Tamandua tetradactyla: one gene and its partner. The protein of the gene in region 1 binds, or shares a complex with, the protein of each later gene. Links are inferred from orthologs where the notes say so. Each region holds a gene or a part of one and is shown in the gene's direction. Other genes may lie near its edges.

The links. Proteins that work in one complex are often made in the same cells at the same time.
Region 2: the proteins of FBLIM1 (region 1) and FLNC are in contact, whole or in part, in an NMR structure (PDB 2K9U), measured with the Homo sapiens proteins. The link is inferred for Tamandua tetradactyla from reciprocal best matches to the Homo sapiens genes FBLIM1 and FLNC. Residues at the interface, in NP_001337080.1 of Homo sapiens: Arg8, Val9, Ala10, Ser11, Ser12, Val13, Phe14, Ile15, Thr16, Leu17, Pro19; in NP_001449.3 of Homo sapiens: Thr2339, Ala2344, Gly2345, Gly2346, Leu2347, Ser2348, Ile2349, Ala2350, Val2351, Glu2352, Gly2353, Pro2354, Ser2355, Lys2356, Ile2359, Phe2361, Asp2380, Glu2382, Phe2387.

Annotation. Positions count from the first base shown.
Region 1 is NC_135328.1:210,134,954-210,142,800, reverse strand, and holds the start of FBLIM1 (filamin-binding LIM protein 1), read left to right. Parts: upstream 1-4,838; 5' UTR 4,839-4,984; exon of another isoform or gene 4,985-5,345; intron 5,346-6,550; 5' UTR 6,551-6,666; intron 6,667-6,978; exon of another isoform or gene 6,979-7,062; intron 7,063-7,847. UniProt on the Homo sapiens protein: Serves as an anchoring site for cell-ECM adhesion proteins and filamin-containing actin filaments. Is implicated in cell shape modulation (spreading) and motility.
Region 2 is NC_135327.1:170,248,832-170,256,479, forward strand, and holds the start of FLNC (filamin-C), read left to right. Parts: upstream 1-4,642; 5' UTR 4,643-4,673; coding exon 4,674-5,028; intron 5,029-7,648.

The DNA of each region.
Region 1 (7,847 bases):
GCTGGTGGCCATCACCGTGGGCCACCTTAGAAGCCGCCTCCACAGAGGGCTTCCTTGAAGTGGGGACAATTGAGTAGAGGCCTGAATGGAGAGACGAGCAAGCCAGGCAATCAGCTGAGAGGACATCCCAGGCCAGGGAAAGGAACACATGGGCAAAGCCCCTGAGACGGGAACAAGTTTGGACTATTTGAGGAACAGCAGGAAATTTCTTGTGACTGGAGCATCCTGGAGGAGGGGAAGGGGCAGGGGATGAGGTCACTGGGGTGGGCGAGGAGCAGAGCGCGCGGGGCCGTCGCGAGGGGTTAGGACTCTGTCCTGCGCTCTAAGCCAACGGAGGGTTCCGCACCGGGAAGGGACCTAATTTGACCCATTTTAAAGCATTCCTCTTTTTGCCGTTTTTAGACTAGACAGTCTAGAAAAAGGGACACCAGTTTGGAAGCATGTGCAACAATCCTGTGAGAGATGATGGAGGCTGGAGCCAAGGTAGCAGCGGTGCAGGCAACCAGCAGCAGCTGGATAAAGGACATCTTTTGTAGATGGGGTTGAGGATTTAGAGTAGGTTTGAGAGAGGGGAAGCCCAGTGGCTGCTAGATTTTTGGCCTGAACACCTGGCCAAATAAGGCAGGGGGTGTGAGACGGGGGTGGGTAGGGAGGGGGGGCTCCAAGAGAGGGGAGCAGGTTCCTTCGGCAGGTACATTAGCGGGCAGGGTTGGGGTGTAAGGACCAGGTGCCATAAGGTAGAGTGATGTGGCCTGGGGTTCAGGTTGGCTTCTCTGAAGAAGGCTTGGGAGGCATGTCCTCAGTGTCAATGAGGGAAACCGAGCAAGGGTGGATGTAGCTGAGAAACCGAGCAAGGGTCAACACAGTGGCAGGAGATACAGCCCCAAAAGGGGCTGGGGCCACTCAGGAGCCGGGGAAGGGCTGTGAGCAGGGGTCAGCGGATCAGGGGTTCCTTTGGAGGGATTGTGCAGCCCCGTGTGGGAATGAATTGCAAGGGGGAAGCGTAGGGGCAAATCCAATTCTAAAGGCCCCCTCACCCCCCGCTTTGGAAGAAGGACACAAAATTTGGAGTGAGAAGGGAAAGCACAATTTACTGGTGCTGTAGAGATTTGAGCCCCTTGTTCTGACGTCTCTCTAGGCAACTTGCTAGGAGTGTTGAATGGAGGCGTTTCCTGTATGAACCTGGCTTTCCTCCCCTTCTAGAACACTCCATAACTCCCAGCAACTTCCAGTCCTCCTGGTGGCTCTTGCCTGAGTGTCAGCTTCATTAACTTCCTGGGGTGAGAAGTAAGCCCACCACGGGGTGAGAGGGAAGCCAGGAGGCCAGTTAGTGGCTGCGGCAGGTCTGGGCCACATTAGGCTTTAGTAAGGAAGGGGTCTCGGAATTGGGGTAGATGTTGCCAAGGGCATGTTGGGATGGAAGCTGCCAGGAATGAAGCCTGCCAGTGGGGCCGGGGGGCTGGGGGGCCGGGGACAGGGAAGGAACCAGTGAGAGTCAGAGTTGGGGCAGACTCAGGGACCCTCCAAAGTGAGTAGCACCATTATATCCTCTTCTCTGCCCACAGAGGGGCTCAAACTGGCAAGGCCTGGGCGAGGAGGCGGCCTCCCAGCCTGCTGGGTCTTACGCCCCCTCGTTCAGGAGTCTGTGCTGCTTCACAGCGTGGATGGCCTGGCCCTGGGTCAGCTCAGGCTCCTGTACTGGGAGGGTGCAGAGGCCCGGGTATGGCTGTCACAGCCAGGCGCTGGGGGGCTGGGCCGGCCTGGGTGGAGCAGGAGGGACACAGGCTTGGGGCCTGAGAGTGGGGGGCTCCTTGGGTGTAACCGTGGCCACGTTGGGGAACCCTGTGGCTTCTGAACAGCTTTTCTCTACCCACTTGGCCAGTTTGGTAAAAGGGCCTGGGCCTAGCCTCCCTGGGCTTGAATGAGGCCCATCAGGGACTAATGGGCAAGTCACTCACTGTGCCTCAGTTTCCCCATCTGTTGTGAGGATTGAACAAGATGACAGATGTAGGGCACTTAGCCCAGGCCTGACGACGCCCTCTACTGCCCCCAGAAGGAACTACATCTCAGTCTGGGCCACGCCTTCTGATGAGAAGTGTCCAGGGTCAAAGGCCACGTCTGGGTCTGGGGAGGGCAGGAAGGAGGGCCCGGCCAGGGCTGAAGAAGCAGGAGCCAATCCCAGGGGAAGAGGGGCGGGAAGAGGTCAGGCCCTTCTGTTACCTGTCCCCTGGCTCCCCGGACGCCCCCACCTTGTCCACCTGGCTACTCCCTGTGCAGAGAAGGATGAGCAAACTTGCCTTTCATTTGGGAGGAGTTGCTAATATGGCAACTCTTTATGGAGGAATTATAACCCTGTGCTGTGTATTTTTTTTTTTACACTCTCTCTCCCAGTGCTCAGGACAGCTGCGAGGTGTTGATTGTTGTTTCCTCTATCTCCCCAGAAGGACAAAACCCAAGATACAGAAAGATTAAGTGATGTGCTTAAACGAGGGAGCCAAGATCTAAATTTATGTGTCTGACTTTAAATTCCAAACTCTTAACCTGATCACTACCTCTTACTGCTTCTGATACAATTTGCGTACAGCTCCTCCAGACCCCATAATCCTTTCTTCTGTAGGGATCATTGAGTCCCTACTGTGTGCCAAGCACAACTCCAGGTGCTGGGGACGCAGAGAGTGAAAGGACACTGCCCTGTTCTCATGAGGATAATTAACAGTGCTGAATGGGGAAGTTTAGGGTCATGTATGTCACCAGAAGGAAAACTGGAGGTTAAGACATGGCAATGTATAGCACAGTGAATTTCTGGTGGACAATGTCGATGATTAACTGTACAAATATAAAAAAGTTCTTTCATGAACCAGAACAAATGTGTAGCACCATTACAAGGAGCTAATAATAGAGAGGTTTATGGGGGAAAAAAATGTACCTGTTGCAAACTGTGGACTATAGTTGACAGTAATGTTTTAATTCTCTTTCATCAGCAGTAACAAATGTACTACACCGACACCATGGCTCAATAATGGGGGGTGGGGTGGATAAGGGATATGAGAGAATTTGGGTTTCCCTTTTTATTTCTTTTCTGGAGTAATGAAAATCTTCTAAAATTGATCATGGGGGTTGTATACACAACTATGTGATGATACCGTGAGCCAATGATTGTATACTTTGGATGGTTTGTATGATGTGTGGCTATATCTCAATAAAACAACAACAACAAGTGTCGTTGCTCTCAGTCTGGTAAGGAAAGCTTAGCATTGCAACCAGCAGTGGCTGATGTACCCATGGGAGTGTTCAACTCTTTCACTTTCCTGGAGGAGTCAGGATGTCTCCTCAAAAGTGACAACACTGGGACAGAGTTTTCTAAAAGGGGGAAATGATCCTGTCCCATGAAGTCTTGCCAAGATTAATCACAGCTCTGTATTTAACTGGTTTAAGAAAAAGCAAAAACTGAGTCATGTAATTGAAAAGTGCAGTCATCTCATTGAAAAGTACAGAGGTAGGACGTCAGGCATAGCTGGATCCAGCAACCTAAAGGATGAAGTCAGTTCTTTCTCCTTTTCTCTTGGCTCTGCTGTCCTTTGCGTTGGTCCAGATGGTGGCAGGTTGGTACCAAGCTTGCATCCTTCCCGTTAAAGAGCCCAACTGGAGGACTCTACCTCTTCCCAAACAGTTGCAGCCACAGGCCCACAGCTGAGATTGGGTCTGGTGTTCATTTCAGAAACAACAGTCCAGATCCAGAGCCAGGGGGGTTGCAGCAATCCCACCCGAACCCCAGGGACAGAAAGTGGGGTGGGGGGTCCCCAAATAGAAATTGGAAGCTGTCCCCAAAAGCAGGGAGAGTGAAACTGGGCTGGCAGGGACCATAAATGTCCCGTAGGTCCTCAGTGGATCCAGCCTCTGCCTCACCTTCAGCTGTCTGCCCACCTTACTGTAACATCCTGAAACTTCTGACGTCTTTATGGTGGAAAGAGGAAAGGAACTCACTTCCTCAGGATGCCTAGGAGGAAAGTCATGTGACCCGGGGCTGGAGGACCCCTTCATCCAGCTCGCCCCAGGTCCCAGGTCCCAGGTCTGCGTTCTAGCTGGAGAGGGTGTGGCGGGCGGTGTGAGCAGAGAGCCCTGGAAACCAGGCCAGAGCGAGTAGAAATAACAACTGCTACAGTTTCAAGGCATCCACGACGGGTCAGCCCCAGGTGGGCCCTTTCTGTGCCGTTGTCCCCAACAGGTCTGCAAAGGGAAGCACTTGTGTCTCTGCTCATGAGTAGCCAGGCCAGCTCCACTGCATTACAGGTGAAGAAATGAACTCAGGGAGGGGAAGTAACTTGCCCAGGTTTTCCCCACTGCCTCTCTCTCCCAGGAATGAGCTCTTCCATTCTTCTTGTGACTGGCTCCTCCTCATCTCAGCTTAAATGTCACCTCCTTTGAGAGGATCTGCCCCCAGCCCTGTCCTCTGTCCCAGCTCCCCACCCCCTTCCTAGCACATTTTGCTCTAGGTAGTCATTGCATTCATTTGCTGGAGGCTGGAGCTCTGCACTGTCTTGTGAAGGTTTGTTGGCTCAAAGCCCCTCGCCCACTAAGGGCAGGTGGTGCCAGGCTGGGCAGCAGCAAACATCCCCACCACCCGGAATCTTATCCCAAAATCTCTCTCGCACCCCTTCCTGGCCACCAGGGGTCTCGGCTGTCACCACTCAAATAGGAGATGGAGTCCTCTCACCTGTCCCCGGAGCCCTCTGAGGAGGGAAGTGAGCTGGTCTGAGCCTGGCAGGGCGGGAGGAGGGAGCAGGACCTCTGAGCTGGCAGACAAAGGGCGTGTGTTCTCATCCACTGCACTTCCTGGGTTCCCATTGCAGGAAGTTTGGCACCGGCCGAACGGTGACATTGACACCCGGGCTGCCCTGGAGCCCCTTGGCCAGGACGCGCTTCTTGTCTTGGGCCGGGGAGCATCAGCAGAGCAGGCTGGACGGCCAGGGCTGCTAGATGGCAGGTGAGTGGTGGTGGCTGGGCCCTGGCAGCCCCTAGAGCCTCCCAAGCCAGTGTCAGCCGGGAGCAGAGGTGGGAGGCTGGGGTCCTACACTGAGTCCTGTGACCTTGGACAAGGCCACCAACCCCTCCCTCTGTGCCTCACTGTTCCACCTGGGGAGGGGGGCTGCTGCAGACAGCGAGGGGGCTCAGTGGGTACTGCAGGGTTGGGGGAGGACGATACCGTTTTCATCTGTTGTGAACGAGCTTCAGGGTCAGGAATCACTTGAAAATGTAGTTGTACGGCTGCAGCCCCCTGGATTGGGCCCTTTCCCCTAAGGTCCTTCCCATCTCCGGCTTTGGCAGCTCCCTCCACTCCCTCCATCCTGTGAGGAGGGCACAGGGAAGTCTCACCCCAGACAGGACTGCAGAGCGGAGGCAGGTCGCCGAGCAGGGGGTGCACCTGACCTGGGGCCTTGCGCCATCTCACCACCTCCCTGAGCCTCAGAGTCCACACTGCAGGGCCGTCCCCACTCCTGCAGGAGCAGAGCCATGCACCCAGGGGCACCACTGCTCAGGGTTTGAATCCCAGCCCTGCCCCTTGCCCCTGGGGTAACCTCAAGGTTCTCAAAGCCTCAGTTTCCATGTCTGTGAAGCAGGAGTAATGGGCCCTCCCGCCCAGGGCTCTTGTGGGGATTAAACCTAAGCAGGTTGTGCGGGTGAGGTGCCAGTCAGAGGAAGCCCCCGTAAAGGGCAGCTGTGGCCCTCGCTGCTTGTCGCTCTTGCAGAGCTGTACGGATCGAATGAAAAAAAAGGGCGGAGGGCGGGGTGGCAGTCGGGTGAGCAGTTTAGGGAGGTGCGAGGAGGAGGAGTGTGGGACAGGGGCTCCAGGCAGCCCCTTCCCACGGATGTGGGCCTCTCAGACCCCCAGAGCCATCCTGGCGGTGGTAACTGTCGCTGTGGGGCCCGCAGGGGAGAGCCAGAGCCAGATGGCCCTGCCTCCAGCGCTTCCCTGGCCTCAGCCACGGAGGCTTTAATCAAAGGAACAATCTGTGTGCCTCTGAATCAGACCCAGATTCCTTTCCCCAGCGCTGTTCTGAGGCCTGAGGCCTCCAGGGACTCGGGAGGCCCATCCCAGCTCCATCCTGGGCCCAGAGCTCAGGCTCTGCTATCCCCTCCCTGCTCCAGGTCCAACCTCTGCCAGCCTGAGTGGGAGGGGAGCAAATCCAGGGGACAGGAGGGGAGGGGTCAGCAACAGAGCCCGGGGGTAGGGGGTGGGCAGCCAGGTATCCTGATGGCCAGCTGGCCCTGCCTCTGGGGCCTGGGCCACCGAGTTGCACATGGTACTCCTGGAGGGGTCAGTCTCCCAGGCCATATGCCAAGGCTTATGGTCCCTAAGACAGGCAGGGACCACACTGAACAGTCAAGCGAGGTGACCTGCTCTACTGGGTGTCTCTGAGACCCCCACCCAGGGACACCCTGAAAAAGAACCCAGCGTGTATTAAGCTCTGACAGTGATCCAGGCTGTCCACACACCCTTTTATCCTCAGGCCAACCTAGAGACTTAGGCACCACTATCCCCGTTTTACAGATGAGGAAGCTGAGGCTCAGGGAAGCAGAGTGACTGCCCAGGGTCCCTTGACGCCTAGGAACCTGGGAGACCCCAGGCCAAACCATGGGTGTTGGACCCTCCACCAGGAAGAGCAGGTGGGGCCGCAAACCCAGGTGACCTGGGGGTGGGGTGGGATAACGTCCCCTCAAGTTGCACAAAGGACGCGGGGTGGGGGGCGGGGAGTTGGCCAGCGGGGGAGGCTCCCAGCCCCGGGCCTGGCGGAGGGGAGAGGAGCGGTCCGAGAACAAAAGGAGGGGGAGGGCGGCGCGGGGCGCGGCGGGGCAGGTGGGGGTGGGGGGCAGGTAAGGGCCGCTTTTGCCCCACGGGCATCCCGGAGCCCCCTCCCCCCAGCTTCACCTTTTATGGTAACGCGGCGCGGGGCGGCGGGGCGGAGGGAGCCGAGGGGGCGGGAGGGCGGGAGGCGCCGCGCTGCTCCCGGGTCCTGCTCGCCCGGGCGTCGGATCCGAGCCGCGGGGGCGCGGGCGGCCCAGGTAAGCGGGGCGCGGAGCGCTGGGAAGGCTGTCCTGCCGTCCCCGCCCGGCGACCCTTAGGTGACAGCGCGGGCAGCCCCGGCCGGAGCCCCACCCCAGCCGAGACCCCACCTCGACGATCCTGGAGGGGCCCCGCGGGACGCTGGGGGGGGCTGGGGGGGCTGGGGGGGAGGGTGCCTGCCCTGCGTTCTGTCCCCGGAGTCCGGGGGGGCAGGTCTGGGGGGAGGGCTCAGTGGCGGGAGGGTCGTGGCCCTCCCCGGGAGAGCGGGCGCCGGGGGAAGGGGCGCGCAGGGCGGAAGCGCCCGCACAAAGGAGGCGGCGTCCCGCACATGGATCGGATTAAAGTCCGGGGCCCGCCGCCCTGTCCCGCTGCCTGCGGGAGGCCGCCGGGCTTTCCGGAGCTCCGGGCCCCCCTCGGCAGCCAGGCTCCGGCGAGGGAAAGGAGGGGCCCCCGAGCTGCCCCTCTCTGGGCCTTACAGCCCGGTCGGGGCTGGGTAGTCGTGGGACTGGGGGGTCCCCGGGGTGTGTTGGCTGGGGGGGGGTGTGATCGTGGCGGCCGGCCTAGTTCTGAGGACCCCGGAAAGAGGTGGGGGCAGCGCCCCATTCCTGTTCTTGATAATGGTGTAAGTTAGGTCCGCTCCTCCTCTTGGGGGGCTGAATGACCAGGCAGCCTTTGCGCCTCAGAGCTTGAGCACCCATTCTCCTTTTTATTCTTGGCCTCCCTCAAGAGAGCCCTCATTCTCATTTTATGAAAAAGAAAAAGAAGGCCCAGAGAGGTCTAGTGA
Region 2 (7,648 bases), on another chromosome or scaffold:
GCCTGGTGTCATTACACTCACTCACTGTTGAGTGGCGGGAGACCCTGCGTTCTGTCTGCTTTACTCCAGCCACCAGTTGGCTGCAGAACATACACAGTGAAAATTACTAGAAGATTCCTGTAGCTGCTTAGTCACTTACTTAGACTTGGAATTAGAAGCCAAGATGGAGGCCAGGGTCTGGCAGGCAGTTAACCTCCAGACAGGACATTATCGGGTCCTTCCCAGCCTGAACAAGGAGCCTGGGTGTCGATGGGGACGTGGTCCTAGGTTTCCCCATGTCTTTTGGCTTAGAAAACAGAACTCTTCCCTTTAGGATACTTGCCTTTATGTGAGTGTAAGCCTCTCTGGGCTTATTGTGGAACCTCATCCTCTTCATCTGGTTTGAACTTGATGTCTCCTGGTCTTATTGATATATTGTTACCAAAGTATATTAAACAGGTCTCTGTTGTGGGTGAAACATTCCCTCCAGCTAGCCTAAGAAAAAAAGGGGGGGGGGGAATTGATTTTAAGTCTACAAGGGTGTCTCCTGGAATCCATGGGCAGGTATGTAGCCAGGCCTCAGGTACAGGTGGTACCAAGGCTTGGGAGCCTCTATCTCTCCTCTGCCGCCCTCTGCATAACCGCTTCCTCCCTGCAGACCAGTCCCCTCTGCTTTCCCTTCCCAAGACGACCATGCCAGCTGTCACCCCTCTCAAGGACCTGCTGCCCTCGGTCAGCGTGCACCCTTCCAAAGACAGAAGCGCTGCCAGTTATGATTCTGGCAGGTGGAAGGTTAGGAAGTAGATTTACTAGGTAAGAGAGGGAGGGACCAGTGTAGAGATCCTGACAATGGTCTCTACAGGGGTGGAAAGACAGACTGTGAGGAAGAACCTGGCTCACTCCATCCCCGAGATACCAGCAGACGAAGCAAACTGACAGGCACCAAGCCAATCATTTTACAGTTATCTCCTTTCATCTTCACATCTTAAAAAATCAGATGAAAGTGTGACTAATTCCACTTTACAAATGAGAAAACAAAGGTCACAAAAAGTTACATTACCTCCCAAGGTCACAGAGCCAGAAGTAGAGAGGCTGGAATTCAGCCTGTGGATCTTTCCACTCTTCCATTGTCCCTGGCACCTGGGTCAGCACCATAATCAGTAGTGTGGCTTGGTCAGAGTGCCTGCTCTGGGTGTCTGCTGTGATACCAGCCTGGTATCGTCACAGGTGATTGTGGAAATGACCACGGCTCCAGAACAGCAGGATTTTCAAACATGGCCCATTGCACCCACTTACTCAGATTCTGCTCAGTCCGAGTTAAATGAGGCCAGTGTCAGTGGCTGACAAGCAGTCCCCTTGATGGCAGAGGCAGGGTCAGGTGAAAGACCGGGTAGCCTGGTCTCCTGAGACAAGCGGGTGGTGGTGAGTCAGGCTTATAAATGCCCATGGCTCCAACCAATGCAGCCCCAAATATTCAGCTGACAAAACCCCCTGTAAGCCCCTCTGGGTGCCCCTGCCTGGCTCAGGGAGGAACCTATCAGCCTTCCTTGGGGAGAGGAGCCCAATTGGCAGGCTATAGGACCAACATTGTGCACGGTCTGTTCCGGCCCATGTGGCTGGGCCTGGGGCCTGGGCTCATGGGCTATATCGGGGGCTGAGTCACCAGCCTGCGCCAGGGTCAGGCTGACTGTGACTGGCTGGCTGGAGCCTGAGTCAGGCCCCGATTTATCCTGGAGAGCAACAGGCTCAGGTTTCTCGGGGGATGGGGGGGTGACGGGAACCATCCATGGGCACTCTGTACCCTCCTCTCACTCCCCTGGGGCAGACACACTGCTCTCTACTGGAATGAGACAATGAGTCAAAGGGGGAGAGCCAGGGGAGGCATGGGGGGCTATCCTTGAGAGTTATCTCTCCACTTGTGGGCATCAGTCTGAACTCTCCCCTGTCAACACTGGCCCCCAAATGACTCAGGAACATCAAGGAATGCCCACAAAACAGGAATAGGAGCCGTTAGGGTTTATAAAGAGGCTGTCAGCTTCAAGCAACTCCAGCTTATCCCTTGCGCTCAACAAGGGAATCCAGCCTTTATCAGAGTTGTACATCGGTTTCTCCACCAAAGCTTCAAGACAACATCATTGAACCCTAAGCTCCTGGCACCTCAGAGTTGGGTGCCAGAAGTCTGCCCTTACACGCACACACACACGCACACACACACGCACACACTGGCACACAGTTCCTTGGTGAGACCCAGCTATGTTCCCCCAGGAACTGGGAATCTCTCCACAGGAGAGCTCAGCCTCTCAGGTAGATGGGCAGCACTGGTGCCTGATGGGTGCTTTGGGCCACGGGATGAAGGTTGCTTGTGGGTAATGAGAGCACTGGAGATGGGGAGAAAGGGGTTTGCCAGCAGGAGAGTAGAATTCCTGAGCACCTTGTCACAGGCAGCCGACAGAACATGAGCTGCAGGGCCCACGCTATTTATACCTCGCCTGTCACTATCAGGGCCCCCATAGCCTGCCCCCCCACCCCAGCCACACACAGCCTGGCCCTTTTCTGTTTCTGGGCCCTTCTCTACTCCTCCCCCCTCCCTACTCAGGCAACCAAGCAACCTCATTTAATGAGAACGAACAGAAATCACTCATGACCCCTTTCACTATAAGCACTGCCCCCATTAAACCCCCAAACTTCTCCCTCAGCTCTTTAATGAAGAGTGCCCTCATTCTGCTCTTGGGAAGAGAGCCCCAAAGATAACCACAAGCTCGTTCTTTTTCACCCAGCCTGGGGAAAAGAGAGGCAAAAGGTAGAATTAGTCATTTATAAGGTCCCAGAACCTTCTTAAACCTTCTCAGTTGTTATCACATACATGGCTTGTATCACATACAAGACACTTCTCAGGCTCAGACACGGTCTCCTACCCACTCAGTTTCCTGTTGATGAAGTGAGGGTTTGCCTACTTCTTCCAGAACCTCTCACCAATTCACTACCCCAAACTTACTGGGTCCAGGAGGGATGGGAAAGCTGAGGAAGGATGGCCATAAAAGGCAGACCAGGAGGTATGGAATACATGTATGCTACAAAATCGCAGAATATATATTCTCTTTATAAAAATATATCCTATAGCTCTTTTTTTTTCATCTCAGGTCAGCTCCTCTGTGTGGATGCCTCAGTTTCCCTACCCTCACCACTCCCCAGGCCTCCAGCCATCCTTGGCTTACCCCAAGCCTAGCCCTGCCTAGCACGTCCTGGCTGGCTCCCTCGGGCTCTCCCTGACCACTCTACCGCTGCCCACCTGCCTCAGTCACGTTCCCCCTTGGCTGCTCTGGGCAGGGCTCTCCCTGTTTCTGTCAGTAATCCGCCTTCTCCCTAGAGTGATCTGCCTTGTGGCCAAAATGGGCACATTGCCCAGGGGGCTCTCTGGCACTAAAGAGGCAGTCTCTCTCTCCCCACTCATCACCTTGGTTGAGTCAGACTTGAGCTGGGGCGGAGTGGGGGTGGGGGTGGCACAGTGTAACTCACTGGGTACCTTTTTCCTGAGCTCAGCTTCATTCTGAGGGGATGAGGCCAGATGGGGCTGGCAGCAGGGGCACTGAGTCAGGGGCAGCAGCCTCAGTCTTTGCCTCTGGGTTTGGGTCCCAAATGAGGCCTTTCTACCTGTAAAGTGGAGCAATGAGGGAGGTGCCCCCCACCCCCTGCCGCGGAGTCCACCATCCCCAAGCCTTCTTCCTAAGTGGCCTGGGCAGTGTCCTTGCTTCCTCTCTGTCCAGGTCTACACAAGCTCACAGACTTCCCTTCCCTATCCACAGGTGGACAATACACTGGGCTAGAAGCCAGGACTCCCAGGTCCGGTCAACAGCACTTCCACCAACTCATCCAGAAATTCTAACACGACATCCGTGTGTGTGTGTGTGTGTGTGTGTGTGTGTGTGTGTGTGTGTGTGTGTGTATGTTTCACTCTAACCACTGGCCTCAGTTTCCCCATTTATCTCTTGAGCTCCTCTGCAGTGGAGCACATTTCATCTCTGACTGACAAGGCTTAGTTTAGGGGTGTTGGGTGAGGATGGGTAACTTTCGCCCTCATTCTCTTCCACCTTCGAGGGCCGCTATCCACCTCCCCAGGGCGGCGGCTCCTCGGGGACCCCAGCCCCCCTGGTCCGCAGACTCGGGCCGGTGTGGGGGAGGGGCGGGAGGCCCCAGCTCCCCTCCCGCCGCCCGGGCCGCGTGGGGGAGGGGAGGGGAAGGAGGGGACGGGGAGGCGGGGCCGTTCCGCTCCGCGTGGCCCCCACCCGCGGGCCGGGCGGCATTCCTGGGAGGCCGGCGCTCTGACGTGGACCCGGGGGCCGCGGGCGAGACAGGGGGGCCGCGGCCCGGGGGCTTCTTAAACCCCCCGCCCCGGCCCGGCCCGCACTTCCCGAGCACCGCTCCGCCCCCGGACGGAGAGAGAGAGAGAGAGAGAGCGAGAGAGAGAGAGAGAGAGAGACAGACAGACAGAGACAGAGAGAGGCCGAAGAGCCGAGGAAGCCCGCCGAGCCCCGCCAGCCAGGGGCGCCAGAGCAGTTGGAGAGCAGCGCAGTGCCGAGCGGCGAGCCCCGCGGTCGCGCCCCGACAGCGCCCGACAGCACCCCCCGGGCCGCCCCGACCCCGCCGCGGACCCCGACCAGACACGCAGCGCAGCCCCTGCCCCGGCCCGCGCCAGCATGATGAACAACAGCGGCTACACGGAGGCCTCGGGCCTCGGTCTGGGCGACGAGGTGGACGAGATGCCGTCCACGGAGAAGGACCTGGCGGAGGACGCGCCGTGGAAGAAGATTCAGCAGAACACGTTCACGCGCTGGTGCAACGAGCACCTCAAGTGCGTGGGCAAGCGCCTGACCGACCTGCAGCGCGACCTCAGCGACGGGCTGCGCCTCATCGCGCTGCTCGAGGTGCTCAGCCAGAAGCGCATGTACCGCAAGTTCCACCCGCGCCCCAACTTCCGCCAGATGAAGCTGGAGAACGTGTCCGTGGCCCTCGAGTTCCTGGAGCGCGAACACATCAAGCTCGTGTCCATCGGTCAGTGCTGGCGCCGAGGGCTCGGGCACGGGGGGCGGGTGGGGGGAGCTGGAGGGGAGGGGAGCGGTGCCCTGAGGGCCGGCCCGTGCGTGGCAGCGGGGCACAGGTGCTGGGTGGGCGCGCGGGGAGCTCCGTGGCACCGTCGGGACTCGCCCGGGCTCTGCCTTCACACCCCTCTCAGGACCCGGGGCACCCAGGCGAGTTCAGACCTAACCATTCCAGCTTCAGCTTCCCCACACCCGCTCCAGCCATTCCGCCTCCCCTCCTAGTCCACTTTTCTTCCGCGGCAGGACCCTGGCCCCTGGTTTGAAAGGACAGGGCTAGTGCCTATTGCGGATTCCTGGGGGCATCTGCCCCCAAACAAAGCACACAGCTTCCCAGCTTCCCAGCACCTGCGCCTGGGGAGATGGGCATGAGGGCAGGTCCCAACCAATGCCCAGCTTCCCCGGCTCTAGGCTGAAGGCGAGCTGGTGGCCCCGCCGCTCCCGCCGAGGCCCAGGGCAGGCATGTGCTCAGCAGCTGGGCTCAGGCTGGGGGGCCAAGGCAGGCAGGGCCCTGCCTCAGAAACCTAAAAAGGCACTGAGTGAGCGCAGGGAGCCTTAACCCCTGCCTGTCCTCCTGCTTCTGTCTGCTGGGGAGGGGGGCTCCCACCCCTGCAGGCCCTGCCCCAGCCCTCCCCCTCAGCCCGGGATTGGCTGCAGCTAAAGGTCTGGACTGAGGGGAGGGAGGACAAAGCCTGTAGAAGGGAGGAAGTCATTGAGTGTAACCAGATTTGGAAGGTGTGTCAGTGCTGTGTGGGGGTGGGGAGGCACTCTAGGCTTTACAGCTGAGAAGAAGCCAAGGATGGGCTTTGAGTGGCAAGAAGTATCCTCTCCCCTCACAACCCTGCAGCCATCCAAGCGGGCTTCCAGGCCTGGGGAAGACCTCTCACCCCTGTGGTGAGGTCTGAAGAGTTCTGCGTTGATTTACATGAACGGGCCCCTTGTGGGGATACACCCCGGGACCTCATGAGGGGAGTTTCACGTAGGGCCAGGTAACCTAGAGCCTCCCCGCCCCCCATCTCGCTGCTCCAAGAGATATACCCAGATCATTGAATGCCCACCCCCCTCTCCCCCTCAGGGCCATCTCTAGGTCTCCTGAATTAGCAGCTGAGGTCAGTTTAGGGCCCTTTGCCCTGCTAGGCCCCTCCCTCCACCTTACCCCCTCCTACCCCAGTGCTCCCCCCTCTACCTCCCACCCCACCCGCCTGCTCTGGCCTGGAAATAGCCCTGCCTCCGTGACACAGCAGATGTCTCTGAGCTTTCCAGAAGGACAAACTTGAGGGCAGGGGGTGGGGGAGGAGGTGCTGGTGTCTGTAGTGGGGCTGAGGGCTATGTGAATGGGGGTGGGGGTAAGGAGACCCCCTGTACCCTGGGATTGGAAAGGCGAGACTGACTGTCCCAAGTGGGGTCTTTGGGACAGCTCGAGGCTATTAGAGGAGATATTAAAGGAAACTGCTCAGACTTCCCCTCCTCTCTGGGGGCTGCAGGGACAGCCCACTGCCCATCTCTAGGCCTCATCCTTTCAGAGCACACCTCTCCCCTCCCCCTTGATGGTTACTGGCTCCAGCCCCCTTGGCTCGACTGTGCAGGGGCGGGCTCAGAGTAGAGGAGGAAGGAGCAAAAGCTGGTTTGGGGGTGGGAGAGACTCTCCCTCGGTTCCCACTGAGAGGAAGGGGAGCTGTTCCCTGTTCCGGCCAAGTGGCGTCCTCGCGCTGATGAGATAAACTGTCAGCAGTTCAGCTGCAGAGAGGCTGAGGCTGGAGGGGAGGGGGTTCAGACGACTCCGAGCTGATGTAAAGGGCTACCCATCCGGTGGGAGCCTCCTGCCTCCTCTAGTTCCCGCTGTCCCCTTTAGTGGTGGAATGAGGAGACATTGTCTCAGACTAAAATTGAGCATCTGAGCACATTGGTGGGAGGCCAGAAAGACACACTATTTCCCTTTCTAGAAGGGAAGTCAAGGCCTGGGGTGGGAGCTGGGAGCTGGGACGTCCACCTGAAGGAGGGGGTATTCAGCTTGGGTTGGAGAAACTGTGTCCCCTTTCCTATGCCTACCACCCCCGTATGGCCCCCACTGCCCCCTCAGCCCCTCCAAACAAAGGGGCCTATGAGGCAGCTCTGTCCTGCAGCTGTTCCCCAGTTGCTATTCCTTCTCTTTGGGCCAACAGCCGAGGGAGGGGCTGGAGGGGACAGCAGCTGTCCCAGCCCCTCCCTCAGCCCAGCTCTCTCTCCTCCTCCCCCTCTACTTGAATCCTGGGGTAGCCTCAAGGACTGGCTGTCTGACTTTTCCCGCCCCCTTTGGGGGTATCCCCAGGCAGGCTGAGGAGTGGTGGCATGGGAGGATATAAGGGAGGAAGCCTAAGCTGAGTGAGAGGAGAGGAAGGGCATTGCCCCCAGAGTGGGACTCTGGGCCCCTTGCTGGCCCTCTCCTGCCCCAGGCTGTGGACCACTTGCTGTTTGGCCCAGGGCCAGTTGCTGGGGAGAAACCTCGCTCTCTGTGACTGTGAGTGATCACCGTCCCCCACACGTACACATACACTCCTCCCAGCCCGGCAGCCTCCCATGCCCGCCCTCTCAGGGGT